Astyanax mexicanus: one gene and its partners. The protein of the gene in region 3 interacts with the protein of the main gene of each other region in a pairwise test. Links are inferred from orthologs where the notes say so. Each region holds a gene or a part of one and is shown on either strand. Other genes may lie near its edges.

Region 1 (7,312 bases), on a different chromosome or scaffold from region 3:
GATCCCGTCGTTGTGGAGTGTGCAGGTGAGGTTCAGGCCCGACTTGGATGTGTTTTCTTTCAGCTGCAGCCACTCCCCCGTCTGCACGTTGTAGGACTGCACTGTCAGCATATCCTCCGTCTGGCTGGGCCGCCGCTGACCCCTGGCTGTGCACTCCAGCTCGTGTGTGTAGCCACCCACCAGGTAGATAGTGTCCTCCAATGAGAGCATCTGCTGCTTGCGTACGTGTGCTGAGCAGGTACGGAACACTGACCACGTGTCTGAGGTGGGGCAGTAGCGCAGAACGTTGGTGTTCCTGTCTGCAAGAATAAAGAAAGGATATTTTTTTTTAATTCAAACTTGAATTGAAATATATTTGTATTTTTAAGTTTCATATAATAACTACATGATTTCATAATAATATTTTTATACTATTAATAATAATATTATTTATACTGGCAAAAATGTATATGAATTGTATTATAAATCATTTGTCTATTAACACAAGGTATGAATCCTATTTACTTTACTGCAGACAGTATGAGCCCAATATATTTCACATCTGTTCAATTTAATTTCATTACTAATATATACATCTATTCCTGCATTTTAGGCCTGCATCACATTCCAGGCATATTAGGACTTGTGGTAAATGAAACAAATAAATGAATTCAGATTATCATGATTTGAAACAAAAGCGGCATCATGTTTCTCAATAAAATATAGGAGAACAAGAACCAGCAGTCAATAATACATAATAGAAGGGCAAGGAATAACCATCATTACAACAATAATTACAACAGAGAGTTGCATTCATAAACAGCATTTTACTGTGCAAAACAGAACATTTATGGTAACCATATCCAGAGGTAGAGTCAAATTCTTTGGAATCAACTGAATCTTGTATGAACTATCACACAGCGAAAACATACTAAATGATTGTGCACACATTAACTTGAGTCAATGCATGCGTTTTAACATGATGTTGGCCCACCCTTTACAGCTTTAGTACCCTAATCTTTGTTGGGAAAGCTTGTTTTCCTGTTTTTAAATATGTGACACGCAGTATTCAACATTGCTGATGACTAACATTGCTGATGACTAAGTGACTAATCCAAGCAACTCAGCACAAAACATCAACAGGACTGCACCATTCCAGAAAAGTTCTTTCCCAAAGTTCTTCTCAAACCACTATACTTTGATTTGCAGTGACTCATTGATATCGCAAAGCAAGCTCCTGTTTATGTGAGCAGCCTCTTTCTAGAAAGACCGTGTACGCACCTCTGGCTGTGTAGCCTCCCATGACGTAGATCATTCCTTGGCATTCGCAGGCAGAGAACTCAGCCAGAGGGTCAGGCATGGAGGAAACACAGTTCCACCAATCCTGCTCAGGACTGTAGCACTCCACTGTACCTAAACAATGTCCGCCCACTGCATACAGCTTCCCACTCACAGCCACCAGCTTAAAGTTTGCCCTAAATACAAACATAACACTGGTCAAGAAGAAGAGCCCTTTTTGAACAGAGAAATTTCAATAATTAACAAAATTGCATGATTAAGATGGTTTGGAATGGTTTGTTTGTTCAAGAGCACGGGTGTCCAATCTTATACACAAAGTGATGGTGCAGCAGCAGGTTTTTTAATCCAGCGAAATAGAATCACATTTTATTAGTATTTAAAAACTGATTAATTGATAAAAATTGGAATCCTGGTTTATGCTACCCAGTGATGGTCCACACTGGCATCTGTTAGGTGATCAGAGTATCTGCACTTTCCTGCAGTGGTTGGCTACACATGTGTCTGATGAGGTGAGTGCTTGTCCTCATTCTCCTAGTGTTGGGGGAATTACTAGTGACAAGGGGAGTCCTAATGAGTGAATGTGTTGTTTAATTTGCCTTCTAAATTGGGGAGAAAAATAATAATATATAATATAATACTATAATAATAATAGAATGAAAACCTGCAGTCGAACCTACCCCTTGCAGATAGAATTGGAGACCCCTGTTCTACAGAATCGCAGAAGCTTATCCACAAAAACTGATTACTCGAAATGGTCATGAATACACTGACCCTGTCTAAAACAGATTTCACCACTGGAAAGAAATATGATTTCTCTACAGTAAACCATGTCACTGTATAGACTTTTTATCCAGTACTTTCTCCTTTGTGCCTGACAGAACGATGCAGATACCTTTTTTGGTTCAGGGGTGCTATATGCTGCCATTCGTTTTTGCAGGGATTGTAGCAGTGGGCGGCAGAGATCTCCTGACTCGTCATTCTGTAGCCGCCGACGATGAACAGGTAGTTGTCCAGCACCGCGGACCCGTAGCCTCGGACGTTGACCATGTCTGGGGGCAGGTTGTTAGCGAGCGGCTTCCAGCGCTGCTCCACCTCCCCGTACCTCAGCATGGACCACGGCTCGTCCTGGTCGGCGAGGTCCAGGCAGGTGCCCATGAAGTCTCCTATGGCCACCAGCGTGGCAGTGCCCCTCATGCGCATTTGCCTGACCTGCTCCCTCAGCGAGGCGGGCAGGAGCTGGAACTCGGGTCTGCGCAGCATGGGGTGAAAGTGGCAGCACATGAACTTCAGGCAGGCTGTCCGCAGGTCGTGGGTCCCGTAGACCTCGGAGAGCTTGAAGAGTTCCACACAGTTCTCCAGACGGATCTCGGACAGGAGCAGCTTCAGGATGGGCGTCACCTGGAGGAAGGAGGCTGTCTCGATCAGGTCCTCCAGGGTCTCGTTGGCGACCTGCACTTTGGAGGTGTTGATGAACTCCAGGACCAGCTCCAGGCCGGGCCCGCTCAGGCCCTGCAGCTGCACCGAGTCCTCCCCGGACTCCCTCATCCCGGAGCTGTACAGCGCGCGGAAGTAGTCGCTCTTCTCGATCAGCTTGCTCTTACTCACGTTGTACGTCCTGTCGTCCATCACGATCTCGATGATCTGCTCTGCAGCGGACATGGTCACGGTGTTTGTGGCATGTGACGAAGGCAAAGGGCACTTGTTGGTGGGCGAGATCAGGTTTACATCTCCAGCAGCTTTTCCTGGTGCTCCTGCTTCTACTGCTGAGTCCCGTCTCTTCTGAAGCCGAGCTATATAACTATATATGGAAATGTTTGGGCCCGGAGCTTAAGGGCTGACTCTGCTTCCAGACTCGACTCGTGTTCGCTAGCTGCTGACTAAGTTGTGGACTAAGAGGGAGAAATAATAAGACGGGCGAGTGTGAAATCCTGTGGTTGTGCTCCATATCGGCTCGGGCAGAGCTGAACACAGAGCGCTGAACACAGAGCTAACGCTCGTTACCGTTAGCATTATTATTATCTTCTCCTTTAATCAGCTCCAGACAGAGAGCAGCCCTGCACCAGAGACCTGCTCCCCTCCACTGCCTGTGAGCGCCCCTCCTGTGAACACATGTCGAGAGATAATGTTAATATTACACAGTGAAAACTATACAGCTAGCTAACCCAGCGTGTTTACCTCCTCATACCTTTTAGCCAGTCCATTTAAACCAGTTCCTGTTTTGGTCTCGGGATGTTCCTACGTCACACTCAGTCTGTGTCTCAAACCCATAAACAACACTGCTCACTCGTTGCTTTGCTGCCTACGCTGCCTCACTGTGTTTTTAGAAGGCAATGTAGTGATTAAAGGGTCTCTGTATCTGATTCAAAAGGGAAATGTGTATTGGCGTTACCTCGGTATGGAGAGTTCAGCACTAGCAGTGAGTGCTTATTTGTGTTTTCTTCATTGGTTATTAGCTAGTGGCGGTTCTAGACCATTTTTAACAGTGGTTATGTTAGAGGAGCAGCTTATAGTGCTCTGCATGCATTATGAAAAAAAAAGTCTGCATTCAATATCATTCAACATTTCATACATTTATACAGTTTTTAGTTACAAATTCACAATTTCTATAATCTTATATTTCTCACTTTACAATGTTATTGTCTAAGTAGTAGTAGGTAGCATGTACTTGGTTTTGGACACAGCCAGCTGCTCTCCTGCCGTTTTTGCGCATTTCTTTTTTTAGTCGATATTTGAAACCTGATATCCAACTTACACACTAGCACGATTTCTAGAACGTTTAATTTGATTAATTTTGTATAAAATAAAAATGCTTTAACATGTACAACAAAATATCAAGCTGCTCATTTTAACAAGTATAAGCACATTGTGCGTTTAAAGCGCGCATGATTGATACGGAAGAAACACTAAATGTTAATGTTGGTTCAGCAGGATAACTCTCTCGGGTGGAACCTTTTAGGGGTTGAACAGTTTTCTGTGTTAATTTCTGCAGTAAATATCTCCGCTCTCTCGGCTGATTTATACGGTTATTAATGTGTATCGAGGCCTTGTGTTTAGGTATTATTATAGGTTACTGTATTTAGCCGAAGCGCGTCTCTGCTGTAACTCTGAGCCGCGAGCCGGTCAGGATGTTTCCCCGGTGTGGAGTAGGGCTGTATTTTGTGAGCGGACCCTGAAAGCGTTTCAAAATCAGAAGAGAAACAGCTTCACTTCAGCAGCTCGAGGGAAACTGGTAACTTAGTTTATCAGGAGAAGGGAGGTGATCAGAGCTCCAGCGCCGCGCTGTGTGTGTGTCGGGATGGGGGAGAAGCCTCTGAGAGTGTGAGAGAGAGTTCACTGTGTTCACTACTGTATTTACACTAGTCCGAGTCAGTCCACAGCTGAGAACACGCGCTGCTGTTTCTGTTCTTATGAACGTTTATTGTTGATTTCACAGCGCAATTCACTTTAATATGTTCTTTATTTAAAGTATTTTTTAATTGTGCACCTTAGCTTTAGTTCGAGTTAATTGATTTTTATTACAGGGTTTTAAAGAATAGCGTTAGCTAGCTAGCGTTTACGTTACATACCATTTCAAAATAAAAGTCAGCCTAGTTTAAAATGGTAATTATATGTCGTTTTTTCTTCTTTTTTTATAATTTCGTTTTTGATAAATGTAGTCAGTATAAAATCCAGTGCTGAGATATGAAAATAATAAAAATGCAAATAATAGAAATTAAGTTATAATATACTTTTTTTTTACAAGATTAATCCACTATAGTTTGTACTCAAGTCTAGCTTTCATTAAAGAAAAAAAATCTAATAAAGACGTTACTTTTTTGTGATATATTACACCCTTGTTTGATGTTCATAAAGTTGTCTCGAATTATAGTAATTTTATAGGTGTTTTTCTTTTTCTTAAATAATATATTTTGCTCTTCTCTAATTTTGGTTTGTGTTTCTTTAGGCTTGCCTGTGGAGACGTCGAAGGCAAAATCACTGCTTTGTTTAACCGAGTAAACACAATCCAAAAAAAGAGCGGGCAGTTTGATGTAAGTCTGTTTTGGACAGTGTCTGGTTAAATAAGGAAGTTGATGCACCTATTACAGTCTCTCTTTTATTTTAATTTGTATTTCTTTAACAGTTATTATTATGCGTTGGTGAATTCTTTGGTACCTCTCCAGAGGCTGAAACAGAATGGGAGGCGTACAAGTCTGGAGCTAAAAAAGGTATTTTACTCATTGTCTGTTGAACCTGAATTTACATAACTGAAATCAGCCTTCAGTTCTTTTATTAAAAATGGAGAAATGTTTTGCTTCAGCTCCCATCCACACATACGTTCTGGGGGCTGCAAGTCAGGAGACTGTGAAGTATTTCTCCAGCTCTGATGGTTGTGAATTGGCTGAAAATATCATCTACTTGGGTAAGAGGCTTGTCTTATTTTTATTTACGTTTGTTTCTTATTTGTTTTATATATATATATATATATATATATGTATATATGTATGTATATGTAGAGAGAGAGAGAGAGAGAGAAAGAAAGAAAGAAAGTCGTGCAGACTGTTTGTTGACTCCTGTACATCATGTTTTGAATTTTAGGGCGCAGAGGAATTTTCACAGGAGCTTCAGGTCTTCAGATTGCATATGTGAGTGGCAGAGAGGCTCAACATGAGCCTGCACCTGCTCACTGCTTTACTGCAAAGGATCTCATAGCTCTGGTCACTCCCCTGGTGTCCAACTCGAAGTTTAAAGGAGTTGACATTCTCCTGACCTCTCAGTGGCCTAGAGGAGTGTGGCAGTTTGGCAACAATCCTGTAAGTACTTTGTAGTAGAAAAAGTTGATAAAGTTATTAGTGGGCAATGTTTATAGACCTGTCTAAATTTTATACTTATTGTTGTTCTTTTAGGAAATTGACACAAAGTTCTGTGGAGTTTCCTCCATTGCAAATCTTGCAGAAAAGCTGAAACCTCGCTACCACTTTGCTGCACTGGAAGGTGTTCACTATGAACGACTGCCATACAGGTTAGCTACACTTTCAACCTTTTCTGAAAATTTTAATGTGTGACAAAATGACTGTTTTAAATGTCAAAACTAGAACTTGTATCATGATATTTAACATTATTAAGATTACAACTTTATGTAATCTTGTCATTTTTGTTTGTATGTTCTATTTGTACTTTTTTGTTAAACAGAAACCATTTGGTTCTTCAAGAAAATGCACAGCATGTCAGTCGATTCATTGCACTGGCGACAGTTAACAATTCTGCTAAGAAAAAGGTAGAACATTTTCCCTTTGCCCACATACTGTGAATGAAGATTGAGTTACGGGATGATATGACTGAAATTTTTTTTGTTTTGTGGCTGTTTCTCTTAGTACTTGTATGCTTTTAACATTGTCCCGATGAAAAATATGGATGCTGCAGAATTAGTCAAACAGCCTCAGGATGTGACAGAGACCCCTTACAGGAAATCTCTAAAAGAAGGCAAGATGGAAAAGCCTCCTCCATCTGTACTCGATGAGGTTTGTATATGTTACTGTTGGATATTTTTTAAATTTCAAGCTAGCACAGTTTTGAATTAACTTTTAGGTGGCAGTCATTTTTTAATTATATCCTGAAGAATTTCCTGCCAAAGACATGATGAATACACCTAGGTATGGAGTAACTGACAGTCTCTGTAAGCCTTAAATATAACAATTTTTAATTTGTCTGTTATAATAATAACAATAACAATAATAATATTAAGTATGGTGGTACTGTAAGGCTTGTTGGTAACATTTTACTGTCATTATTTTAATTTTGTTTATAATTATTTACTGTTCTTTTCTGGAGTATGTCTCGTTGAATGTATAATGTTTGCATTTAATATAAAAAGCCAATAGAAATATTTGAATAAAACTAAATTACCATCACTTAAAATCTAAAATAAAATAAAAATAAATAGAATGAACTCTTAAAACATTACAGAGTTGTTTCCCAGACAGGGATTAAGCCTAGTATTGGACTACACTGAGTTTTAAATAAAGATTTCCTATTGAAAGGGAATGCCATTGGGCAT
Region 2 (7,477 bases), on a different chromosome or scaffold from region 3:
ATAAATACCAAATTAGAGAAACTGGTTCTAAAGTGGTCTCTTAATTTTAAAAGCTGTATAGGTATATTTCACAAACTATTATTGATTGTTATGCTTTTCTATTATTGTTATATTGGTGGCATTTAAATTGCCTTAAAATGACAATAATATCAGTAAGCGCAATAATTTCTGGGAAGATATATCGTCCACAAGAAAGTGCTTTTGTGACAGGCCTAGATGGGAGCCATGTGAGTATAATGTGGGCTGTAATTCTTATGTGCCAACCAGAAACATACATAGCAAACATTCCACCTACATAAGTCCCACGGGAATGTTTTAACACTACCTAAAATATAGATTCATATTTAACTTTAATTCTCAAAAGTAATTTTGGAGCGTTTCTATTGGTCCATAAATAATAAATTGTAAAGACACAATATAAAGAACAACTGCCAGATTCATACTTAATCTGAAAAGGAAAAACAATGCAGAAAAAACATTTTTTGCATGGCCGCAACAATATGAAAAACACTGAATACACTTTCAGTATTACATTACATCACAGAACTCACCTGTTATACCTGTGGTAGGTTTAGCAGACAAAGCAGTCTGAATGCAGCCTTTGGTCTTTAATTGGAAAGCTGCTCTCTCCTCCACCCCACCAGCACCAGCTCTGAGAGAAAGACCCGGGTCCTTGGTAAGCTCTGACTGAGCGAGTGTGATGCTGCGCAGCTGTGAGCTCAGGTCTCTCTGAATGGAGGAGTCAGTAACACACTGTAGCACAGACTGTGTGCTGTTAGGCTTGGGCTTTGGACTGGTCTTAGGCTCTAAAGGGTTTAAGGGCTTAGTTTTTGAAGTGTTTGTGTGATGAACATGTGTATTCCTCAAAGATGAAAGGGGATTGTGAGTGGGGGGGTTTGTTCTGTGCTGAGAGGTGGTCAGGGTCTTGCTGGGTGTCGGACGAGTCGTTAGGGGTAGTCCAGAACTTCCTGCCCTTTCAGGAGCAGCTTCAGTGAGCTTCTGGCTGTGGCTCCGAGACTGGGACAAGTTGAATGGAACAGGTTTGGTACAGGTTTTCCTCTTCTGTGCCTTTCCCTGACAAAGTAAATCAGTCAGACATGATTATAATGATTATAACCACCTGATTCACATAGTTATAAAATAATCAGTAGGCTTGCCGTTAGGTCTGGATGATACGACCTAAATTTATCTCACAATATAGGTGTGAAAATAGACTGTTCACAGGGTGTAAGACAGCAAAGAGCACTGTGAGGCGCTTTGGGCAGGGTGTACAATAGGACCCTGTATATTTTTTGAGATCAATATGAAAAATATAAAATGTTGATCTACCAGCAGTGGCCTCTCCTCCCATCTCTTAAGGCCGGGACTTTGAGGGATGTCTGTAAGAACTGGCTGTATGGATTTTGCCAGGACTGGAAGCCTGCTGATGGTCTTTAGTTTATTTGCTCCTTTTGTGGTTTTAGCAGTTTCATTCGGGTCCTGGTTCTCAGATCCTCTTTTGGACGACTGGGTAATGTGGGATTGTGTCCTTAAATTCTCTGAAAGCTTATTTGCTTTTTGGTGCTTCAGCAGCCTGTTTGCATAGAGAAAAAAAAGTATTTAAATAAAGATCAACTACCAGACTTTACATACCACTGTTAGAATGTTGTTTACTCAAATACTTCTGTGCAGAACTGTATGTTAAAGATCAGTAAGTCATGAAAACAAGTCCATTTACCCTGGATTATCCCTCTGGTTTTGATTCTGAGGGCAGAGGGGAGCTGCTGAGGATGCCATTTGGAGACTGATGGGTTTTGAGCGACTGTTAAAAAAAAGAAAAAAAAGAAAGCACTTTAATCAGCTTATGGCGGTACAATCTAAATCAAGATATATAATTTTATATATATAATTTTAATATATATATATATTTTTTATTATAAAGATTTATAATAACTACGTATTATAATGACAAACAAAACTACGCCCACCAAGTAGATATTTACCATACTGATTATATTTTTATAGATGTATAGGTATAAACATTATAACTCTTTGTCTGATTTATATTTTATTTTATTTTTTTTATTGTATCAATTTATAGATGTTTAGATATAACCATTGAAGCTCTGTCTGATTAAACATTTTTTCTGATTATATTTTTTATACATTTATAGATCTGAACATAGCACTGAACGGAATGACTAGTTCATTGAATGCAGGTGTATAAAGCTAAACAGCTAAAAATAGTATTCAATCACTTGACCAGAATAATACTTTAATTTTATTTTAGTCTAAAAGTTTTATAACTTATATATAAGTTTTAAAACTTAAAAAAGTGCTGAAACATTTTTATGGTTCTGTAAGGAATAAGTAGCTACAAGTTTCAGTATAAAAATTATATGAAACATTATATTAAACAGGTTAGCAGAGTGTGGTGTGATGGATGGGTAGAAAAGGCTTCTATTGAATCAGAATAGCAGCCTATTAAATAGGGGATAAAACCCCAAAATTAACGTGAACTAGTGAACATTTTAAACGTTAACTGGTTAATTCAGAGATGCTGAATTAGAGTGTTTAGCAGTATAATCTGTGCTGTTCTCTGCTGCTACCCATCGATATGAAAGTTTTATCAGTAGTGCGCATGCGCGGACCAACTTCTTAATGTTTTCATGCGTTTTTATGGTAATTCTGATCTACTTTGGTGCATTAAACAGCCGGGGCACCCAGCTATTATTTGTCTGGGTGTTACAAACGTGTAAATGGAAATTGTAAATAGTAAAATAAATAATTAGACCATATAAAATACAAACAATGGCTCTTATCAGCCTTATTTACTTAACTGATATACTGATTCAGGCATTTTTAAATGTAGTGCCTTTTCTGGTATTTTTATGTTTATATAAATAAACAGCAGGGTAGCACTGTTTGACAGGGAAGCACAACTCATCAGAACACCGGTTTGCCATAAACAGGCTCACTATAGATCTGCAACGTTAGATAATGAAATGAACTAACGCTGGCCTATATATTCACTATATTCATTATATATTCAGCCAGTTTACCCGATAAACCCAGGCGTATTTAAACCCGTAAATACTCACTGAATCCGGGCTGGAGCGGCCTGGTTCTCCGGGCTGGAGGTTTTTCAGCAGTAAAACCCCTAAATCTGCTATATTTTAGCAGAGCTCCACTCCAGCGTGTTGTTTTCCGGGCTCCACAGTAATTTGTAAAAAGCTCCCATCTCCATTGGCTGACGCAAACCTGTCCTCCACCAATCAGCGAGCTCGAAAAGCACTTCTATGGAAACCAAGATGCGCCTTTAAACCACGTGACTTTTGTTCTGTTTGTGGGAAAATAACCGCCAAAGTACTGGCGGGGTCTGTCTCAAATACCACCATGCTCCCTACTGCCTACTAGTGCACTAGTTTTGTGAGAACGTTGTTATACTTAGTTCTTTCATGCTTAAATATTAATAAATGTTAAAGAAATTAGGTAATAATACATTCTAAAACGACTGACTCTCAAACAGTCAGATATTTTGCACAGCACTTTTTGGACACAGTATTTTTTTAGTATTTTAGTACAAGTACTAGGTAGGGCACTACGTAGGGAATAGGGAGATATTTGAGATTCTGCCCTTTCAAGCAGTGGGATGGGTTATTTTTACAGATAAAAAATACTATTCATCTTAGATCATTTTTGAATATTGTAGTATTAATCATAAATGGAAAACTGACTTAATCAGCTTTTGCATGAGATGAACAAAAACACTGACATAAAGGATGGTTTAAAACCTATGTATAAGTATAAATAAATGTTTGATTGGCTCAATATGATGTTAAATCTCAAATGTATTCAATTGTGATTAAAAGTTCCATAAAACATATTATGAAATCTATAAATGTGGGTATAAGCAAATGTTTTGTTGGAATGAAATAACTATATGATGTTCCTTTATCGAGAAATCACACCTTCTAACATGCCTGTAGTTCATAAGTTCATCAACCATAACATTAAATCCACTTGCCTAACTGAGAACACACAGAAGACTTGACTGGTTCTTCAGTCATCTGTTTGGTTTTTTTTATAAAATGTAATTTCTACATTTGCCGATTTTTCACGATTCCAGCACATCACCTTTGAGAATTGACTGAGACCTTATATTACCCTTTGACAGATTTAATATTACAGACATATACAAAATAATAAATAACAAATGCAAAACAATACAATATGTTAAAAAATATCTTTAATTGAGCTTGTTTGAAAAAATCTGTTCAACCCTTTCAAATTATCAACCCAATAGTGTAGACAATAGCTGGCTAGGACAATGTCTCAATTTTAATATGCAGTGGATTTGTTTGTATATGCGTGCTTTTGAAGTGGCGACACAACTGTTGATGTTTTTACGTATTCCATCAAAATGATATTTGAGATACAAAATAAACCCTGAGAGGAACTGTGTGAAGAAACATGAATTATTTCTCAAGACAAACTGAACACACAAGAAAACACTCCAAAATGGAAAACATACATAGATCAAACAAAAACACGTGAAAATAGATGTGATGATAGAGAAGCCAAAAACTAAAATTCAATAGGGTTTAATTGGTCTTAAAGGGCAGAAGAGAAGCACACCTTATTCTCAGATTGACTCGAATGACCAAACATATATTTTTTGGGTTTTAGTTTTCTACTTCATAAATATATTTTTATGTCATGTTAACATTGCTCGCTTGATCAAAGTCAGACATTTTGGTGAGGCCAATTACACAAAAAAGAAACGTTTACACTTGTTATTGTTATTTTTGTCATACTAGCCAATCTGAATTCAGATTTAATAAGAACATATTCAACCCCTCTAGAATGAATATTAAAAAAACTAAAATATCTCAACAGTTTATATCAGTGAGGGGTAAAGCAGATAATGAACAATAATAAACTGGAAAAACTATAGAATACATTAACTTCATTATCACCTTACCAATGTCATAAAACATCAACCAAAAAATAACATATTTACCCTATACAAATAAAAAGGTCTAAACAGCTTGCTGTTAAACTCTCACATTTCCCAAAACATTAAGGTAATCTTTGTACAAGGTATGTTTAGAAAGATTCAAATGCAACAAACCTTTCCGTGTCGCTATAACAAAATTACACCAATTATGTACACAAAATTTTAACACTCCCCCACCAGAATCTGTCATGACACTACACACTAATTCCATTTTAGATGCATTACCGTTTTACTACAAAAGGTACCACACCACTCCTGCTGAAATCAGCCGGCAGAAAACTACATTTAAACAAATAAATGGAGGCAAACGGGAAACAGAGCAAGACAACATCGAGACATCCTACCGTCTGACCGTGCCGAGTGACTAAAAATGGATATTTACAGAGCTGGAACATGTTAATCAGTAGAAATACATCATATGACTATGATAAAAAAAAAACAACAACAACAACAAAACATTAAAGCAAACAGTGATGAATGGGCACTCACTATAGCAGACCTAGAGCAGACCAAGGTGCTGAGGGTACAGTTCCATTTCCTGTTTACACTTCTTAAGATAACCTGCAAACAAGCATCACTATCAGTACTTCATTACTACTGATTTAACTGTTTTAGGAGCACTGACCACACGGTAAAGCACGATCGCGCTGGCCAAAAAAAGCATTCACAGTGAAATATGCATGTACGTATTTATGAATATATATGTGAGTGACTATGATAAAGACCTACATCAGACATAGATCCTGTTAGCAGAACTGCCTGCTTCTTAACTGTCTGTTTGGACCAAGAGTCAACATCAAAAGCATAAACTTTCATACTTTCTTGCAGAATTTTACTAAAAGTTAACATGTTAACTTATGTGTAAAAGACCCTGTGGTCAATTCATGCATATTGAGTATTAGGATTATATCTGGATAAGTTTAAGCCACCTAAACATGCAAGTGTGAACACACCCAGGATTTTTTTAAAAACAGATACGAATCCATTCACTCAGACCACTTGAAGGGGTGATATGAGATTCATATGAGCATTTGATCCACATTATGGCAGTGTAAACACATCAGTCTCTCCAAGTAGACACCAGTTATAACTGCCTAAACCATCCCACACTGCAGTCTGATTAACCAGAGACATGTTTGACTACCATGTATAAATGAATGTAGATTAAATCACATTAGAATCCAATCCAGATACTGGTTACATGAAGTGACCAGGTGTAAACAGGTACTCATAGGTGTATTTAACCTAAAATCAAGTTTCAACATTACAAACAAATCAAGGCTATGAAGCTAGTATAAAAAAAAAAAAACTAAGAACAAAAATCATGGATCTTGTTTACACCTGGTGACATGTTCCACATATATCTGGATTTTATCTTGATTGGATTTTAAAACACATGCACTTACACTTGGTAGGTGGTTGGTGTGGTGCAGTGGATAACACCACTACCTGCCAGTAAGACACCACATCACATCATGTGGAAGACTGGGGTTCAATTCCAGTTCTGGGTGACTAAATGCTTTGCTACACCAAAAAGAGTCCTTGGGCTAGACTCCTAACACTATATTGATCCTCCTCTGAAATAGGAATGACCTTGTACGTAATGCCTTAATTGTAGTTTTAAATGGGAGTTAAATGTGTTTCTGAAATATGGCTTCTGTTTTGCACAGCAACCAGTTGTTTATCATGAATATGGGGAGGAGTTTTCGCTGTCTGTTGCAATTTGGAGATATTGATGTGTTTACACTGCTATAATACCTGTGTAATACCAAATGTGTCTCAGATCACCTGCTAAAGTGACGTGACAGATGGAGCTTGGGTGCGTTTGCACTTGTATTTTTATGTGGCTTGGCCATATCCAGATACAAACAGGCTCCTTTGATACCGTTTTAGCTTCCCCTGGTAAACATAATTTAATTGAGCAGCATTGCTTTTGTGGATTCCATGAAATGACGAATGATTTCTTTTCTTTTGCTTTACCGTTTGAGGGACAGCTTTGCATTACATTTGTGAACAGTCCCAATTCAGCTTTAGGCTTCATTACTTCAGTTTCAGTCCTGACGAACTCAATCAAACCATAAGATCGAGCCTCAAAAGTTATCTGAAGTCAGTACAACTCCCCTGTGGAAGATTGGATATTTGTGTTACATGCAAAGGAAAAGAGCTGCAAGTCTTGCCTCATTATATTTCTATTATTCGACTTTAAACGCTACAAGAAAATGCTGCACACACATTTACAACACACCTCTCCTTTCTGCAAACTCCACTGAACTATGACTCTCGGTCCAGGAGTTAATCATCTAGAAACTGAACCACTGCTACTCTAGAAATAACAGGGCTTTCCATTTTACTGCAACTAACTGTAGGGGCCAAATTAGTACACATACCAATTACACAGCCAAAACAGTAACTTTACAGTAATGAAGACTGAAGCCATTTCCACACAAACCTCTTAAGTGCTTTGCACTTTTTAGTTAT
Region 3 (7,960 bases):
AAAAAAGGTTTGTAAACACATTTCATGTAACAATGTGTCCTGCAAATCATCAGGACATGTGTTTCTTTTTATTCATAATAATTATTGCGGCGAGGGATTGTGTACACCATTTGGACAAAATATTGGGAAACCTGCTCACTCACGGTAAATCAGGAGATTTATTAAGAAGGTTCATCTGTTTTTGTCCCTATAAGCCATTGAGGATTTTCTAGAGTTTTAAGCATTTTTGTGAGAATAAAATGCCTGCTGTATTAGAAGGAAAACATGGTGACACTCCTGTTCCTTACTAGTGTTGCATAATGTGCCCCTTATAATCCGGTCCACCTTAGGTATGAAAATAGACCAGAAAACAGACGTTTATTGATAGTGCACCTTATAGTCCGGGGGCCTTATAGTGCGAAAAATACGGTAATCAAAATTATAGACAGAAAAAATAAACATTTTAGTGTTCAAATGTTCAAATTTAAAAAGAAGTTGTACATTTCACTTTTGAGCAATAAACCAATCATCTTCACTTTAATATAATGTCTAAAACAATAAACGGTAAAACCTTTTACCCAAAATTCTGTGGTAGTGTCAGCATCTCCCCGAGCATCAAAGTCTCCGCCCCTTTAATAGTAGATGGATCTTCCCTCATGAGTCGACTGAACAGATCACCTGAAGACAAATGGAGGTTAAGTTAAATATGATCTGGAGTCACAGCAATACACTCACAACAGAGTCCAAATCTTTATCTGATTTATGATTCAGAACTGTGACCTAAGAAGGCCAGAACCTGAGCCTGATTTATAGCAGTGGAAAAGATACAGCTCTTACATTCAGAGAATTTCATGTCTGATCAGCGGCCAACCCTGCGGAGCTGTGCCCAGCGAGTGGCAGGCTGACATAGTTAAACTGTATAGTATGGCAGAGTCATCTGATACCAAGTCAAAGGCAAGGCCTGGACAAATTACGACTTTTACAGGTTACAGTATACGTTTAGCAGAAGTCTGCAATGACTAAATTAAAGAAAACAGGAGAAGGCAGAGAATGAGACAAGGCTGGCATCTACACCACTCCATTCACTTTATCTTTCTGCTCTCAGGTTCTCCTCATTCATCTTGATTAATAGTGGAATATGCTCCACTCTCATTTTGCCCCCTCATATAAATATAGGGCCTACGAAGAAGTGTCGTGATGACATATGGCTCTGGAGCGGTGCCGTTAATGGCTGAATATTGTGTTTCGGAGGTGCTGGACTGTGGCAAGAGGGAAAACAAACATTATAAATTCTTGTTGGGTCTGCAGGTTATATTCTGGGCTACAGTCATGCCACAGATTTCATTCCAATTTCGCTAACAGGCAATAAAAGTAGTTAAGAGTGGGTGTCAAATATAAAAAGATAAATATGTCAGACCTCCTAACTGTTATGAAATCACTTAATGAAATCTTAATTTGTGGAGATAGTGGCTCCTTCTGCTTGTCTTCATTGTCTTCATTATTTTGTTTCATTAATAATATTAATCTCACCTGAGTGTATATTATATATATTATATTACACAATATTGACCTGCTTTTGTTGGAGTAATTGTCTCTACTGTTAAGGGAAGGCCAGAATTGCTCCACAGCTTAATGCTAGGTGCCAATAAGATCATTTTTATCTGCTTCAGAGAGTCCTATTCTATTGGTAATCCTTCACAACACAGACTAGACAAGCTGTGTTTGTGCATTTGCACATTTGTGTCACTAATGGGTGCAACTTTATTAATTTATTAATTAATTCAAGGGTTAGCTAATCTGCCTCAGTTGTGCCTATATTAGCATTAAAGTCCCTGGCTCTTTAATGCAAGGGATTTTAAGAGAACACTTTAATTCTAATGGAAAAGTGTGAGGACAATAAAATAGTTTAAATGAACCAAACAATAGAGTTATTGTTGTTTCTTTTGTTTACCTGGAAGGTCTCTGTCTTCACACGTCACAGGCATATTAGTGAACAGTGTCGGTTTTGTCAGTCGCATCACTAGTAAAAAGAAAAATGCACATATTAATAGTAATAATGAGCACCTATGTACTGATGTTGACTTTGTAAGGTATATTCATATAGGAGCACTGTAGCTCTATTATAACAGACTGTAGTAAATATGTTTCTCTGCATACTTTAATTACTATCCTTCTTTTACCCTGTACTGTCAGGACCCCACACTGCAGTTACACTGATATATGGTGGTGATACAAATGGATCAGACACAGCAGCAGTGCTGCTGTAGTTTGTAAACTACAATATGTGGGCAGTGTCCTCTAAGAACTGACAAAGGACTAGAAGATAATCAACAGAGCTTCTGTCTCTGACTTAACTTTATCTACAAGGTGGAGAATCTTGACACTGTAGGAGTGTCTAATACAATGGAGGACAGTGAGTGTTCAAAACACTGTGTTTAAAAACTCCAGTGTTTGATCCACTCATACATCAGCCCTATACGAGCTGTTCTGTGGTGGTCCTGTGGGTTCCTTACTAGTAAACAACAGGGTGAACGAATGGAGGTGAACAAAGTGGACCGATTTGGCCAGTAGAGCTGATACAATGGACAGAACGTGTAAACATATGGGTTTAATGTAATGGCCATTTACAGTACATATTTGTATTAATTGTTTTAAGTAAATATAAGTAAAAATGATAAGTAAAATTAAAACATAAATAAAAACAGGTCATTTGCTTCTTAAAGTGCCTAAATGAAACTATTCTCAATGAAAAGCACATTTAAAAGTATCGATATACAACACATCCCTCTTAAAAAGCTTTTCTCTATTGTTTCCTTAAAAACACAGTAAACGCCACCTTATTCAGACTTTAATACTCATGAATATGCTTCATATTATTGTACTATACAGTATTACTATACAGTATCTACAGTTGTGTTTAAAAACTTCCCTGCTGACATCACAATTAGGCGTTAGCTTCTTGTACAAATTCTCCAATCCACCTTAAATAGTCCAGAGGTTACACACTGGTGCATGCAAGACCCTGCTCTGACCCGAATACAAATACTGCAGATTTAAGGTGGACCGGGCAGTTAGAAAACCAGGCCGGACTCTCAGCGCTTTCCACACTAAAGCTGTGGTTCTGAGCAGACCGGTGCTGCGAATTTTAAAGCAGCAGCTGGAGATGAGCCTTAAGATGCAGTCGGTGAGATAATGGAGCAGACAGAGAGCGGAATCTGTACCTTTTAGAGCCAAAAGATGCTCCTGTTTTGCCTGATTCACATCCATTTTGTTTGATAGTAAACCGGACTGACGTTTCCCCTGCATCAGCTGACGACGGAGCGCAGATAGGGACAAAACGCGTTTTACATTAAAGCAGCACAGGATGTTTTTATCTAGCGATAATTTCAGAAAGACATTGCTACAATTTCTTATGTAATATCATATTTGAGTAGTATTGTAAAGTGTATACCGTGGAGAAAATTGTGGTCTTTAACTTTAGAATATTTACTTTCCAAAAACGTGAGAGAAATTGAACTGAAATTAATACATAAAAATACCCCCCTGAATCTTTGATATTGAAAGTTTGATATTGAAATTAACATGCTCTTTTTTGTAAGAGGGCTTCGTTTTGGCAATGTATATACAGCAGAAAGTTTTGTTCTGAACTATTACAAATTCTGAGGATTTTTATTTTCTTTTACTTGTATTTACCTCTGAGAAATCCATTAGTGATAAGTTTTTTTATGATCAAACATTATTCCTTGTTTTTTAAGTTTGGTGAGTATATAAATATATTACTAAACATGGGGACTAAACCCCTTAACATTTGTTGATCTTTGTTGCCTCTGGACATACATTTTACATATGCTTATGTTAAAAGTTTGTATTGACATAATGAAGAGAAACATGCAAAATAATGTCTATAAAATATATATTATCTAAAAAAATATATCGAAAAAAGTTAAAGAATATATAAAAGAGACGACCTATTTACAAATGTGCACATATCACTATTAGACAAATAGAAATAATGTATCATAATACCACGAGAATACTAAATAAACGTGCATATATTTGTCATAAGGTCACCCAAAACAATGTGAAACACTGGTGAAGAGCATGACAAGACACATGAAAGCCATAATTAATAATTCGTGTTATTCCACCAAATATTGATTTCTGAACTCTTCTTGAGTTGAAACATCAGTATTGTTGTTTCTAAATAAATATGAACTTGTTCTATTTCTGAAACACTGCATCCTTTTCATTACGTTTATCTTTATTTTATTTTGACTTTCATTTTCTGCAAATAAATGCTCTTAATAACCATATTTTTATTTGGAATTTGGGAGAAACGTTGTCGGCAGTTTATAGATTAAAACAACAATTCATTCATTTTACTCAATATATACCTATAAATAGTAAAATCAGAAAAGTGACCAGTCCCAGCATCCTAGCTTCACATATGTTCCATGAAAGAGCATTAACTTATATAAATTGTTTTTTTTTTTAAACAAAACACTATTAATAGTGCATATACTGTGTATAAATCATCAGAATTACAAAAAAGTGTAATTTTTAAGCCGCAGCTACAATAAAACCTATGGAAACAGCTGAAACCTTACTGTGGATTCGTCCATTGCTTAAATAGGGGTTTAAACGCCGGCTGTAGCACCGGTTTTATAGACAATTTCAAACCTTACAACATTGTTTGCGCAATTATTTTACCATGTAAAATATTAATATACTATTTAACACGTTGTAAGCATATTTTATTGAGTTTATTGTTTCTGCTGTTATTTGCTCGTCCTCTGACTCGACCACCCCGGTTTTGTCATGGATGGTCGCGTCCGAGGATGGCCGCCGCTGTAAATAAGCAAGGAGCCGCAGCACCGATGGAGCCTTGTGTCCGGCACGTAAGGGCCACAACAGGCAATACGGTGAAGGTACAGAAGTTTATGTTAGATTTAAACTAAAGTGCAGTGATTTAGGGAGAGTGTTTTTGTGTATTTTTGTATTTTTTTTGTTTCTGCATTCGTGGTTGCAAAAAAATGGATAATTCAGGGCCAGAAAACCATAATCCACCCCAGGATTTTGCTCCAACTGTATGGGCTACTCTTCTGAACGCGGCTGCAGCAGTGCCAACGAGGCGGTTGGATTGAAATCCTGGCCTGGATTTTTGCTAACAAGTGGAATGGATTCCCCAATGTCTAGCAGATACCTAGATTAGCTAAGCTAAACCCAGTAAAATATCACAACACTACGTTTTATCCCCTGAAATTCTGTGAAACAGTGCAATATATAGCTGCACAAATGTAATTTACGCGTAATTAACAGGGTACAGTCTCTGAAAAATTGGTAGTTATTGCAAAATGCCAGCTAATATCAAGCTAGCTAGCTTTCTGAGCTAACACTACCTATCTGTGTAGGTTAACTAGAAGCCGCAAACAAACAATTGGTGCCCTCAAAAAGGATGTTAATTAGTTAACTAGGTTAGCTTGTTAAAATGTGTTCCAGCATAAATAATAATATGTGGTAATATTTCGGTGCTATTCATTTTTACATGACCTTTTATATAATGACTTGGGTATAATGACTTATCTATTGTTTTTTACAGCAACTATGTGTCCTAAAACGATTTAAATAGAGTATATTGAAAAATAATATTAAGTACCACTTAAAATTATAAATTTAATTTTACCTAATTGAAAACCTCTGGAATATAATAAAGAGGAAGATGTATGATCACAAGCCATCAAACCAAGCTAAACTGCTTGACTTTTTGCACCAGTAGTGGCAAAAAGTTATCCAAAAGCAGTGTGTAAGACTGGTGGAGGAGAACATGCCAAGATGCATGAAAACTGTGATTAAACCATGGTTATTCCACCAAATATTGATTTTTGAACTTTTAAACTTGATGAATATGAACTCGTTTTCTTTGCATTCTTTGAGGTTCTCATTTTCTGCCAATAAATGCTCTAAATGACAATATTTTATTTGGAAGAATTTGGGAGAAATGTTGTCCATAATTTATAGAATAAACAACAATGTTCATTTCACTTAACATATACCCATAAACAGCAAAAACAAAGAAACTGATTTAGAAACTGAAGTGGTCTCTTTTTTTTCCAGAGCTGTAGTTGGTTATTTAGGTAAACAGTATGTAAAGTGGTATCAAACTCTTCTTTTAACCTCTTCTGAGGGAAGGGGTGAAATTTATTTAAATTTAAATTTGTGGTGAAATGACTAGAAAAGGTGACATTATGTAAAAATAATAATAATAACTTAAAGCCTAAGAACAAGATCATAATAATCATTTTCACTTCAGCTATTAATGGCTGTGTGTGTTATCCCATGAAAACATATAGTAAAATATGTACATAAATGTAGTTTGACTTGTGAATACTTGCTGCTCCTCAGGTTTTGGAGTGTGGAGTCTGTGAAGACGTATTTTCACTGCAAGGAGACAAGGTGCCTCGGCTACTGCTGTGCGGTCACACTGTTTGCCATGACTGCCTGACCCGCCTGCCTCTCCATGGCAGGGCTGTGCGGTGTCCATTTGACAGGCAGGCCACTGAGCTGGGTGAGTTTAAACTGCTGTTATGCATTTTTAGATATGATTTGCTTTGTTTGACCGTTGGTAGCATTGACTGATTGATTTCAGACTGATATCAGCATTTAATGCAGGATAAAATATTAATAGAGTGGTTGATTATCATTGCCAATGTTTAGATGCTCATTAAGTTAACCATTTCAGGTAAAATTGGTTAATTTTAAAGCTTAGTAGGATAACTATACTAGGGCAATAAGATAAATAGTATTTTTAATGCAAAACAAAACCTGTTTCCTTTTTTTCGCGTTCAGGGGACTCGGGTGTCTGGGGCCTGAAGAAGAACTTTGCACTGCTAGAACTTCTTGAACGGCTTCAGAACGGTGCCTCAAACCAGTCAGGGATGTCGGAGGACGCACTGCGAGAGATGGGAGAGGTTGGGATCATATGTTTCTATACATATACATATAGTTCATTTTAAAAAATGTAGTTAAATTTAATTTAAAAGTTACTTCATTTCAGTAATTCAGTTCAAAATGTGAAACTCAAATACATAACTAAATTATATAGAAGTTTTACACACAAACTGATCTATTTTAAGTGTTTCTTTATTTTATTGTTGATGATTATGGTTTACAGCCAATGAAAACCCAAAAATCAGTGTCTTAGTATGTTTACATTAACATACTTCCATCTTGTTGCCCTGCAGTGCATCATACGCTGTGATGAGGACGAAAGCCACACTGCCTCAATGTACTGCACGGTGTGCGCCACCCATTTATGCGCCGAGTGCTCCCAGCTCACACACTCCACCCGCACACTGGCCAAGCACCGCCGCGTTCCTCTGGCAGATAAGCCTCACGAGAAGACCCTGTGCCCTCAGCACCAGGTGCACGCCATCGAGTTTGTCTGCTTGGAGGACGGCTGCCAGCCAGGCCCGCTTATGTGCTGCGTCTGCAAGGAGTATGGCAAGCATCAAGGACATAAGGTACTGAGGCCAGTATGATAATTGCACAGTTTGCCCTTGAAACTCTGGCAGATGTCTGTGATGAACAGCCTGTGAGAAATTTACACCGATCAGCCGTAACAGGGAAGGTAAAGGGAATAACGCTGTTGATCTGGTTCCAGTGGCAGCGGTCAAGTGGTGGGATCTACAAATTAGTAAGCGAGTGTCAGGAACAGTCAGTTCCTGATGTTGATGTTTTGGAAACCAGGATAGTAATCTTAGCCAATATGAGCAGAACCATTTTAGTTCCAAAAGAGCTCCAAAGACGTATAACTGCTGAACTTGAGATGTTTTTAAAAATGTATTAGTTTAATATAATAATAATATACATAATAATAATTAAACCAATAATAATAATATATATGGTAATAATAATAATTATTATTATTACTATGCTATAGGTTTCTTTAAACAGTTTCAGGCCTACTATTTTTCATTTTATC
Region 4 (8,153 bases), on a different chromosome or scaffold from region 3:
CCCAGGACTGTTAAATAAATTCTATAAAGATAATTTGAATTAAAATATTACAATTTAAAATCAATCTGACCCTGATTATTTTCATTATTTAATTTAATTTATATATTTAGGTCTAATTGTAAAAAAATAAAATAAAAAAAGTTAAGACTACAATAAAACAAATTAGTGGAGAAACTTTCAGGAGTATAAATAAGTATAAAAATATGCTATCTTCTATGTGGAATCATACCATACTTTCAAAAACATATTTACACACATCTTCAATACAAGCTTGGTTCTTTATGGAATTAAACATGGTTCTTCACCTAAAAATGTGGGCCTTGGACAACCCAGTCAGCAGGACATCAGCGGTTCCAGGATTAATCAATAACCCTAACCCTAATTGTTTGTGATTTGAGCACTGTTTTATTGATCACACGCTTGTTAATTAAACGCTCCTGACTACCTGAATTGGTCTTGCTAAGGCTAAAGTGTGAAAGCCCCTGAAGAAAATAACTGTGGTTGCTGTTTTGCCATGTCAGTCAACTGTGGAGCTTCAAAAGTGGCTGTGTTATTGCAGAGTTTTAAAACTGCGCCACTCACTTGAAAATAAACCATGATATAAGTACAAATATTTCATAATTTTAAATATAAGACTGACGACTGTCAGTTTGGGATGTCTGGCAGTAAGCTTTGGGATGATACTTGGATAGCTGGGGGGAAAAAAAGTCGCAACAAATTACACCACACTACGCAAACAAGCCAAGTAGACATTTTAACCTCCAACAAAGCTCCTAATAGTGATTAAATGGTGGGAATAGTGTCAGCACCGACAGCATGGGGGTTTAAGTTCCTGAACAGATGCTCAAAACAACAGCTGGTCATGGTGAGCTCATGCTGGTGAAGGACTGCCTCTCCTCTGAGCTCTGAGATGACACTGATTTACAAAGAAATTGTGTATTAAATGACATGCCAGGGTTTAAAAGTTACAAAATTCTAGAAGAGTCTAGCTGAGAAAATAAGAAGAGCATAAAAAAAATCACATTAACCTAGTTGTGGAACCATGCTTACTAACAATAAGGGAATAAGTGACATAACGAGAAGCTAGAGGTGGGCTATATGACAATATTTTATTGCATCAGGTTTCCATTTATTATTTAGGATTTACATTTATTATGAGCTCAGACTACAAAAAATTAAGTAAAAAAAAAAAAAAAAAAAGTTTAATATCTGCAAAAAAAGTGATCACATCCAAGTAGCGCTGGCCGGTATACTGGTTCATACAGTGGGGAATTTCAAACTGGTATGCAAAGAAGCATACAGCTCGCTAGATAACGCTAGCCAGTTAACATAACAAGCTAACATACTGCAGTGACTGGAGCACGACATGAACATGAATAGATGAGACCAGAATCGGTCCTGAGCGCAGCGTCGTTTTATTCAGCACAAGTGATAAAACTCCGTAAACTCAGGATATGAGGTGCAAAAATGCTTCAAGAGCAGCAACTATAGCCCTTATAAAATTATGGCTGATTTTAATATTGTAATGATTCTAATGTGTTTGATAATAACATTTTAAATTGATATTAAACTTGTGTCTTACTTGTGCAATAGAGCTTTAGAGAAATATCTCTTTGAATACTTAAACTGAGTATTTTAGGTTAATTTATAGTGTTTGTGGAGTTATTTAGCTTGTTTCGAAAAGGAAGCAGCGTTAAAATTGTTTTAAAAGCTCTTTTCTGCTAATGAAGTCAGATTTTTTCATATATTGTGTATATATTTTGTGGGACAAAGTAAACCCAATTTAAATCCTTAGTGTTTTATATTATATGTACTACTAAACCTAGATTAAAGCCAAGTCATGTAAAAAAAATAAAATAATAAATAGCCTGATATACCGTGAAACTGTCAGAATCTTGAAATATACCTTGAAATACATTTTTGGTCATACCGCCCAGCACTACATCCAATGTATCCAATGAACACAGACCAACTTCTTATTTTATATTCCACTATAGAGATTTATAATAGGATATAACACATTAGGATACATGATATATAACTGGATCCCATTAGTTAGTTCTGATTCATTTGACCACAAATGTAGTTCGTATGTATGGGATAGTTTTTCTAATGATAAAAACTGTGTATCGTAAAAAGGTTTTTAGTTAAATATCGCAATATTTCGATAATATTTTTACCAAATCGCCCACCAGAAGACTATTGCTTGGTTAGTTAGCTTGTTAGCTCAGATAGTTTTTACACAGGCAAGTTAGCCACCAGGTTCAAAATGTAGTTAGCTAGCTAGCTAACTAGCTAGCTTATGTGAGGAAAAAAAATACCTCATAGCGTTAGTTATAGTTGTAAATATTAAATAAATTAAATGTAATTAGTTTTAAAATGACTACAAGGACTAACCTTGTTTGCCGCTCTGGATAAGAGTGTCAGATAAATGCCATAAATGTAACGTAAATGTATCCTTAGCAGATAATAAACACAAACCAACTTTTTACTTTATATAACTTACCATTATAGAGATTTATAATGAGTACGAGATATATAATTAGATCCCATTAGTTAGTTCTGATTAATTTGACCAAAAATGAAGTTAGTTTGTATGAAATAGTTTTTTTAACGAAAAATACTGTGTATCGTAAAAAGATTTTTAGCTAAATATCGTGATATTTCGATAATATTTTTACCAAAATCACCCACCTCTACCTCCAACCAGAAGACTAAGGTTTAGTTAGTTAGCCTGTTAGCATAGATAGTTTTTACACAGGTAAGTTAAGTTAGCTACCAGGTTTAAACTGTAGCTAGCTAGCTAGCTAACTATCTTATGTGAGGAAAAAAATATTCACAGCGTTAGTTATAGTTGGAAACAGTTAATAAAATAAACGCAATTTCTTTTAAAACGTGTTAATCTATATAACAAGTGGCCTGACTCTATTTACAACCAAACACGAGGCTTAAAAAGTTAGCTGCTTCATCAACTTGTCCGTTCCACCTTAAATGCCTCAGGCGCACGAATGGAACTGCTGCTCTATTTAAGGTGGAACGGACGAATTCGCAACTTGAAGCTCTCAAACTCGAGCTAACTTCTAAAACAAGCCCTAAAAGTTACTCAACACTTTCATTTTCAGCATTTCCAAACCTTCAACCACTGAAACAACCCCGAACCCACCTCCCAGCGGAGTTAACTCAACTTCAGACACAGACTCACCTATTCCTCTCGGCCCCTCCGGTCCTCTCTGTCCTCCTCTTCTCTCTGTTTCTCTATTAAAATAATAATAATAATAAAAATAAACCTCAAACTTCCTCTAAATCACTCTCTCACTCCTCAGCTCACTCTCTCCAGCCTGCTCTCTCTCTCTACTTCTTTCGGGAAACGGCGGAGAAAACTTTCCTCTCTTCTCTATTTTCTCTTTTTTCACTCCCTCTCTCCCTCCCTCCCTCTTTCACTCTCTTCCACTCTCCTCCTCCTTTCCTCGCTCTTCCGCCTCGCGTCACGCGGATCTGCGATCTTCTCCAGTATCGAGTATTGCAGGATTTAGAAGTAAAAATAGTTCTAATAAACATATTATTAAAGTATTTTATAACAAAAAAATAAATAATAATAATAATAATAATGATGCAACGAGAGATATCATATTGGAATTCTTGTTTTACAGAGATTAATAATAATAATAATAATAATAATAATAATAATAATAATAATAATAATAATAATAATAATAATAAATAAAATTATTTAAATAATAAAAAAAAGATCAGAAAAAAGAAAAGAAGGAAAAGTAAGGGAAGATAAAATAAAGGAGTGGATGGGAAAGTAAGAAGAAGTAAGAAAGAAAAAAGAGAAACACTAAATTCAGTGTTGGGTCTTTTTTTATTTCATTTTGTACATTTATTTTTTTGTCCATTCTTATACTGGATACTGTTGTGGCTCTTATTGTTATTTGCAATAATACATTTGTTATTAATTTTAGCAGCTAATCTTTACAAATTTCTTAGCTTTTTCCTAATTAAAAAATCTTTAATTTCTTGTTAGTAATATTAGCCAACGTTTCTTTATTTTTCTTTTGTTGTTTTGTCAATTTATTTAATAATAATAATAATAATACATTTTATTGTTTAGAATAACAACAATACATGTGTTGTTCATATTATTAGCCAATCTATGTGATTTTCTTAGCTTTTCCTTTTTACTTCTTTATTAAAAAGTAACAAAAAGAATACATTGAGTAATCATACATTTGTTTATAGGAATAATAGTAATAATACATTTTATTGTTTAGAATAACAATAATATATGTCTTATTAATATTATTAGCATAATAATATCTACTATATTACTATAATATCTACTATAATAATATAATACAGCATTTTCAGGACATTATAAGTTGCATTACATCAACATAAAAAAATCAGCATAACCCAAATAGAACCCATATAGAAATAGTACAATACAATAAAAATATAAATTAACAATAAGACTTAAGAATTTAATAACGAACAATTAAGAAAAAACAGTAAGATATTCATTAATATTCATTTATCTGAACACAACCTTTTTATTTACTTTATTAACTATACTGAGGATTAGTAACAGGCTGCTAGTTTTAGCCTATGCTGGTAAAAGTGTCTAGTGAGCAGCGCGAGGGAGGAAGGGAGCAGGAAGGGAAATGGAACATCCCCAGAAAACACGTGAAGGCTTCGAGGCTGCATATGGGACTGCACTTCCGCTTTGGTTCTAGTATGCCCCCCCTTCTTTAATCTGATTGGTGTATTAAATGTAAACGTCACGCCGCGTCCGGCCGTGTCTGATTCTGATTGGGTAGCGTGTGTGTCAGTCATGTTACCTCACTCGAACTTCAGCCGGTGGTTTGTTTTGCTGGGTGACTGAGCGGAGGACGAACTTCAGCGATATTCCTTCAGTTAAGAGAATTCAGGCAACATTAATCTGATATTTTAACGCTGTAAATAAGTTAAAATGCTCATGTTATTTTTCTCAGAGTCAGAGAAAGCATTCAGATCCTTAAATTAGAGAACTGTGTTCAATAAGAGCTGGTTAAAGTGGTAAACCTGTAAAGTAAAGCTAGGTTAATTCAGCTAGCTCATTTATTATATATAGCATTATATATTTATTATTATAGCATTTATTATAATTGTAAACAACTTAATTCTGATTATTATACTGATTTGTATCGGAATAACAGTTGCAGTTGGACCCAACAGCACTCACTGGGCTTTAAATACCAGCTAAGAAGGTAAGACAAGAATCTATACAGTGGCTTGCAAAAGTATTCATACACCTTGACCTTTTTTATTCATTTTGTCACATTACTACCACACTACTACACAATTACTAACTGTAAACATGTATTTTATTGAGATAAATGACAGACTTGTCTGTCAAATTGGAACATAGTTGTTTTTTTCATCTTATTCCTTCTTTAAAGATAATGTTTCCCTCACTTTTTAACTTCTTTCTGTTTTTGGTAGTTTCAGCAGATAATTTTACCCTTCTAAAACAGATTAACATTTTTCCAAGAAATCAGGATTATGGTGTCTTCTCACATTGTAGTTTTAAACAAATGAGAAGCTACTCCCTGCATCAGTTGTCATCTGGTCTTAGCCGGAGACCCACTCTTATAGAATACAAACCAAACAAATTTATTTTTTACAAATCGCCTTCAAAAACTTATTTAAACATACTCATGCATTCGAAGTGAATCTAAGACCCTAAAAGTCACTACAATAAAATTTAATATCAAAACTGCACAAAATAAATAAGGCCACAAAATGAGATATATTTTACTTCTCCATACAAAAGACGAGTAGAAAATCAGAGCAATAATTATTTTTATTTTATTATTATATAATTTGTTAATGTATTTCTTTTTTACAAGTTGTCTGCGACCCACCCAGAACGTTTCTGTGACTGACTTTTGGGTCCCAATAACCAGTTTTAGAGGGTGAAAACAGCTAAAAACTAAAAGTTTATTTTCCCTTTAAAAAACTTCAGGTGGACCACGCTCCCCTTGGGCAATTCAGGTGGTGACCTTGTTTATGGTCAGGCAGTGTACTTAGCTTAGTTTTACTCAGAACTTGGGATTATTTTCATCAAATATCCAAATATTTAGTTAAAATATCAGAAAACTCTGGTGTAAGGTGGACTTTTTTGGTGTAGTAAAACATGATAAAAAAAAATAGGATTCGTTTTAAATGTTAGGGCTCTCCAGTTTCTACTAAGGAGGTGTGGAGCTACTTTGAGCTGGATAACGGTGTAAAAAGTGATTTATCAGGGTAAATTGTGCCCCGTGTCACCAAGTCTGAAGGGTGTTTGGAGAAACTGTTAAAATATCTGGATCTCAGAACGCTGTGGGAGAACGGAGGTGTGCTATTCATCAAAGATAAGAACTTTTTATCATGTTTTACTACAACAAAAGCCCATTTTACACCAGAGTTCTCCTTTAAACTGGTGTGTTTGTGAGTGTGTAGATATCAGTGCTGGACTCAGACCAGAAACTGAAGATCCCGGCTGCACTTCTTCATCTTTTCAGTGCAGGACATTAAAGTAACAGTAACTAGTCATGTTCTCCCGTCCCCCTTAGATCCTCTCCGTGTCCCTCAGCCCCTCCTGAGCCCCTCGCTCCCGGGCTGAATGCTCCAGGCTTTGCCTCGGCTGAACAGAGCAGTGGGGAGGATTCGGCGTGTGGGAGCTCACATCACCAGCATGGCCCGAAACGGTGGCTCCTCAGCAGCGGAGGACGGAGGCGGCGTCACGGCCGCTATCCTCATCATCGGCGATGAGATCCTCAAGGTGAGGAGGAGGCAGACACCAGTAGGCTGTGTCATCAGTGATTTATCATTTCCTACAGGGAATCATGACTGTACTGCAGTGGTGTACTACTATGTAATATGTATAAATTGTGTAGAGTGGAGCTTGAAATTTGTGAAACCTTTAAAATAATAAATCTTTTTTTTTTTTATCAATTCGACCAAAAACTATCAATCAAGTACTAAAGGAAAAAAAGTGGGTTTTCTGCCATGAACTGCCGCTCCAGCACTTTCCACTACATTTTTAACAGGATTAAGGTCAGGATTTGTACACTTGAATTTGTGAAATTCATTCTGACCTTTCACATTCCCTCCAGGGCTCTTCTGTTTAAGTAAACACAATGAGCAATATTGAGGTCAAGACAAATTATCATTGTTATGTCCATATACAGCTCTTTCTTTGATTTTACCAAATTAAAAACCTCTGGAATATAATCAAGAGGAAGATGGATGATCACAAGCCATCAAACCACCAAACTAACTGCTTAATTTTTTGCACCAGGAGTAAAGCAGCATAAAGTTATCCAAAAGTAGTGTGTAAGACTGGTGGAGATGATGGAACATGCCAAGAAACTGATTCAGAAACTGAAGTGGTCTCTTAATTTTTTTTCCAGAGCTGTATATATGTACAATAAGAGTATAATGTGAGTATTATTATTGTTAGATAGAGGACCATTGACATAGTGTTCAGTAGCTCCTCCATTTCCACTCGCTGTAGTGTTTTTACATGGATCTCCGTGGAGATCTGTAATTACCCACAGTGTAATTTTATTAAACGCGAGGAGACGAAACTTAGTGATGTGCGTCCGGAAGGGACTAAAATTACCAGATTTCAGAGAAAAACAGTAGATAATTCAGCCTGTAATTTTCTTAGAGAAACACGTACATGTTCGTTCCTTATATATAGGGCTTATGTTTTTGGGTCATAATAATATATGTCTGCAATTTTTGCATCAGGGTCACACCATGGACACCAACAGTGCCTTCCTGTGCCGAGGCCTGAGGAAGCTGGGCGTGTCCGTGCAGAGGATCACCGTGGTGCCGGACGTCAGGGAGGTCATCGCTGAGGAAGTGGCCCGGCTCTCCCCGTCCGTCACCCACCTCATCACGTCCGGAGGCATCGGGCCGACGCACGACGACGTGACCTTCGAGAGCGTCGCCATGGCATTCGGCGAAGGTCTTCACGCGCACCCGGAGCTGACCGGGCTGATCCAGAAGTTCTTCGGTACGGTCGACCCAAACAGCTCCACCATGAAACTGGCCACGGTACCTCTATCAGCCAAGCTGAACTTTGGGACGGATCCTCGGACGGGGAAGCCGCTGCGCTACCC

The links.
Region 1: the proteins of trim23 (region 3) and klhl42 interact in binary tests that used the Homo sapiens proteins (3 or more experiments, as listed by UniProt). The two-hybrid records come from large-scale screens. The link is inferred for Astyanax mexicanus from reciprocal best matches to the Homo sapiens genes TRIM23 and KLHL42.
Region 2: the proteins of trim23 (region 3) and tastin interact in binary tests that used the Homo sapiens proteins (3 or more experiments, as listed by UniProt). The two-hybrid records come from large-scale screens. The link is inferred for Astyanax mexicanus from reciprocal best matches to the Homo sapiens genes TRIM23 and TROAP.
Region 4: the proteins of trim23 (region 3) and flad1 interact in binary tests that used the Homo sapiens proteins (3 or more experiments, as listed by UniProt). The two-hybrid records come from large-scale screens. The link is inferred for Astyanax mexicanus from reciprocal best matches to the Homo sapiens genes TRIM23 and FLAD1.

The regions. Positions count from the first base shown.
Region 1 is NC_064409.1:37,370,420-37,377,731, reverse strand, and holds the start of klhl42 (kelch-like protein 42), read right to left. Parts: upstream 3,272-7,312; 5' UTR 2,938-3,271; coding exon 2,171-2,937; intron 1,455-2,170; coding exon 1,261-1,454; intron 300-1,260; coding exon 1-299. Other genes in the region: cwf19l1 (CWF19-like protein 1), read left to right, coding at 4,574-4,596, 5,222-5,306, 5,399-5,483, 5,576-5,677, 5,854-6,068, 6,162-6,277, 6,448-6,532, 6,630-6,776. UniProt on the Homo sapiens protein: Substrate-specific adapter of a BCR (BTB-CUL3-RBX1) E3 ubiquitin-protein ligase complex required for mitotic progression and cytokinesis. The BCR(KLHL42) E3 ubiquitin ligase complex mediates the ubiquitination and subsequent degradation of KATNA1.
Region 2 is NC_064420.1:42,757,003-42,764,479, reverse strand, and holds the start of tastin, read right to left. Parts: upstream 3,219-7,477; 5' UTR 3,081-3,218; intron 1,802-3,080; 5' UTR 1,777-1,801; coding exon 1,718-1,776; intron 1,574-1,717; coding exon 1,330-1,573; intron 1,075-1,329; coding exon 552-1,074; intron 1-551. UniProt on the Homo sapiens protein: Could be involved with bystin and trophinin in a cell adhesion molecule complex that mediates an initial attachment of the blastocyst to uterine epithelial cells at the time of the embryo implantation.
Region 3 is NC_064427.1:22,848,357-22,856,316, reverse strand, and holds the start of trim23 (E3 ubiquitin-protein ligase TRIM23), read left to right. Parts: upstream 1-4,792; 5' UTR 4,793-4,817; coding exon 4,818-4,907; intron 4,908-6,381; coding exon 6,382-6,544; intron 6,545-6,825; coding exon 6,826-6,947; intron 6,948-7,220; coding exon 7,221-7,499; intron 7,500-7,960. Other genes in the region: trappc13 (trafficking protein particle complex subunit 13), read right to left, coding at 558-657, 1,931-1,999, 3,201-3,285.
Region 4 is NC_064413.1:2,344,273-2,352,425, forward strand, and holds the start of flad1 (FAD synthase), read left to right. Parts: upstream 1-4,836; 5' UTR 4,837-4,958; exon of another isoform or gene 4,959-5,249; intron 5,250-6,596; exon of another isoform or gene 6,597-6,616; 5' UTR 6,617-6,646; coding exon 6,647-6,805; intron 6,806-7,779; coding exon 7,780-8,153. UniProt on the Homo sapiens protein: Catalyzes the adenylation of flavin mononucleotide (FMN) to form flavin adenine dinucleotide (FAD) coenzyme.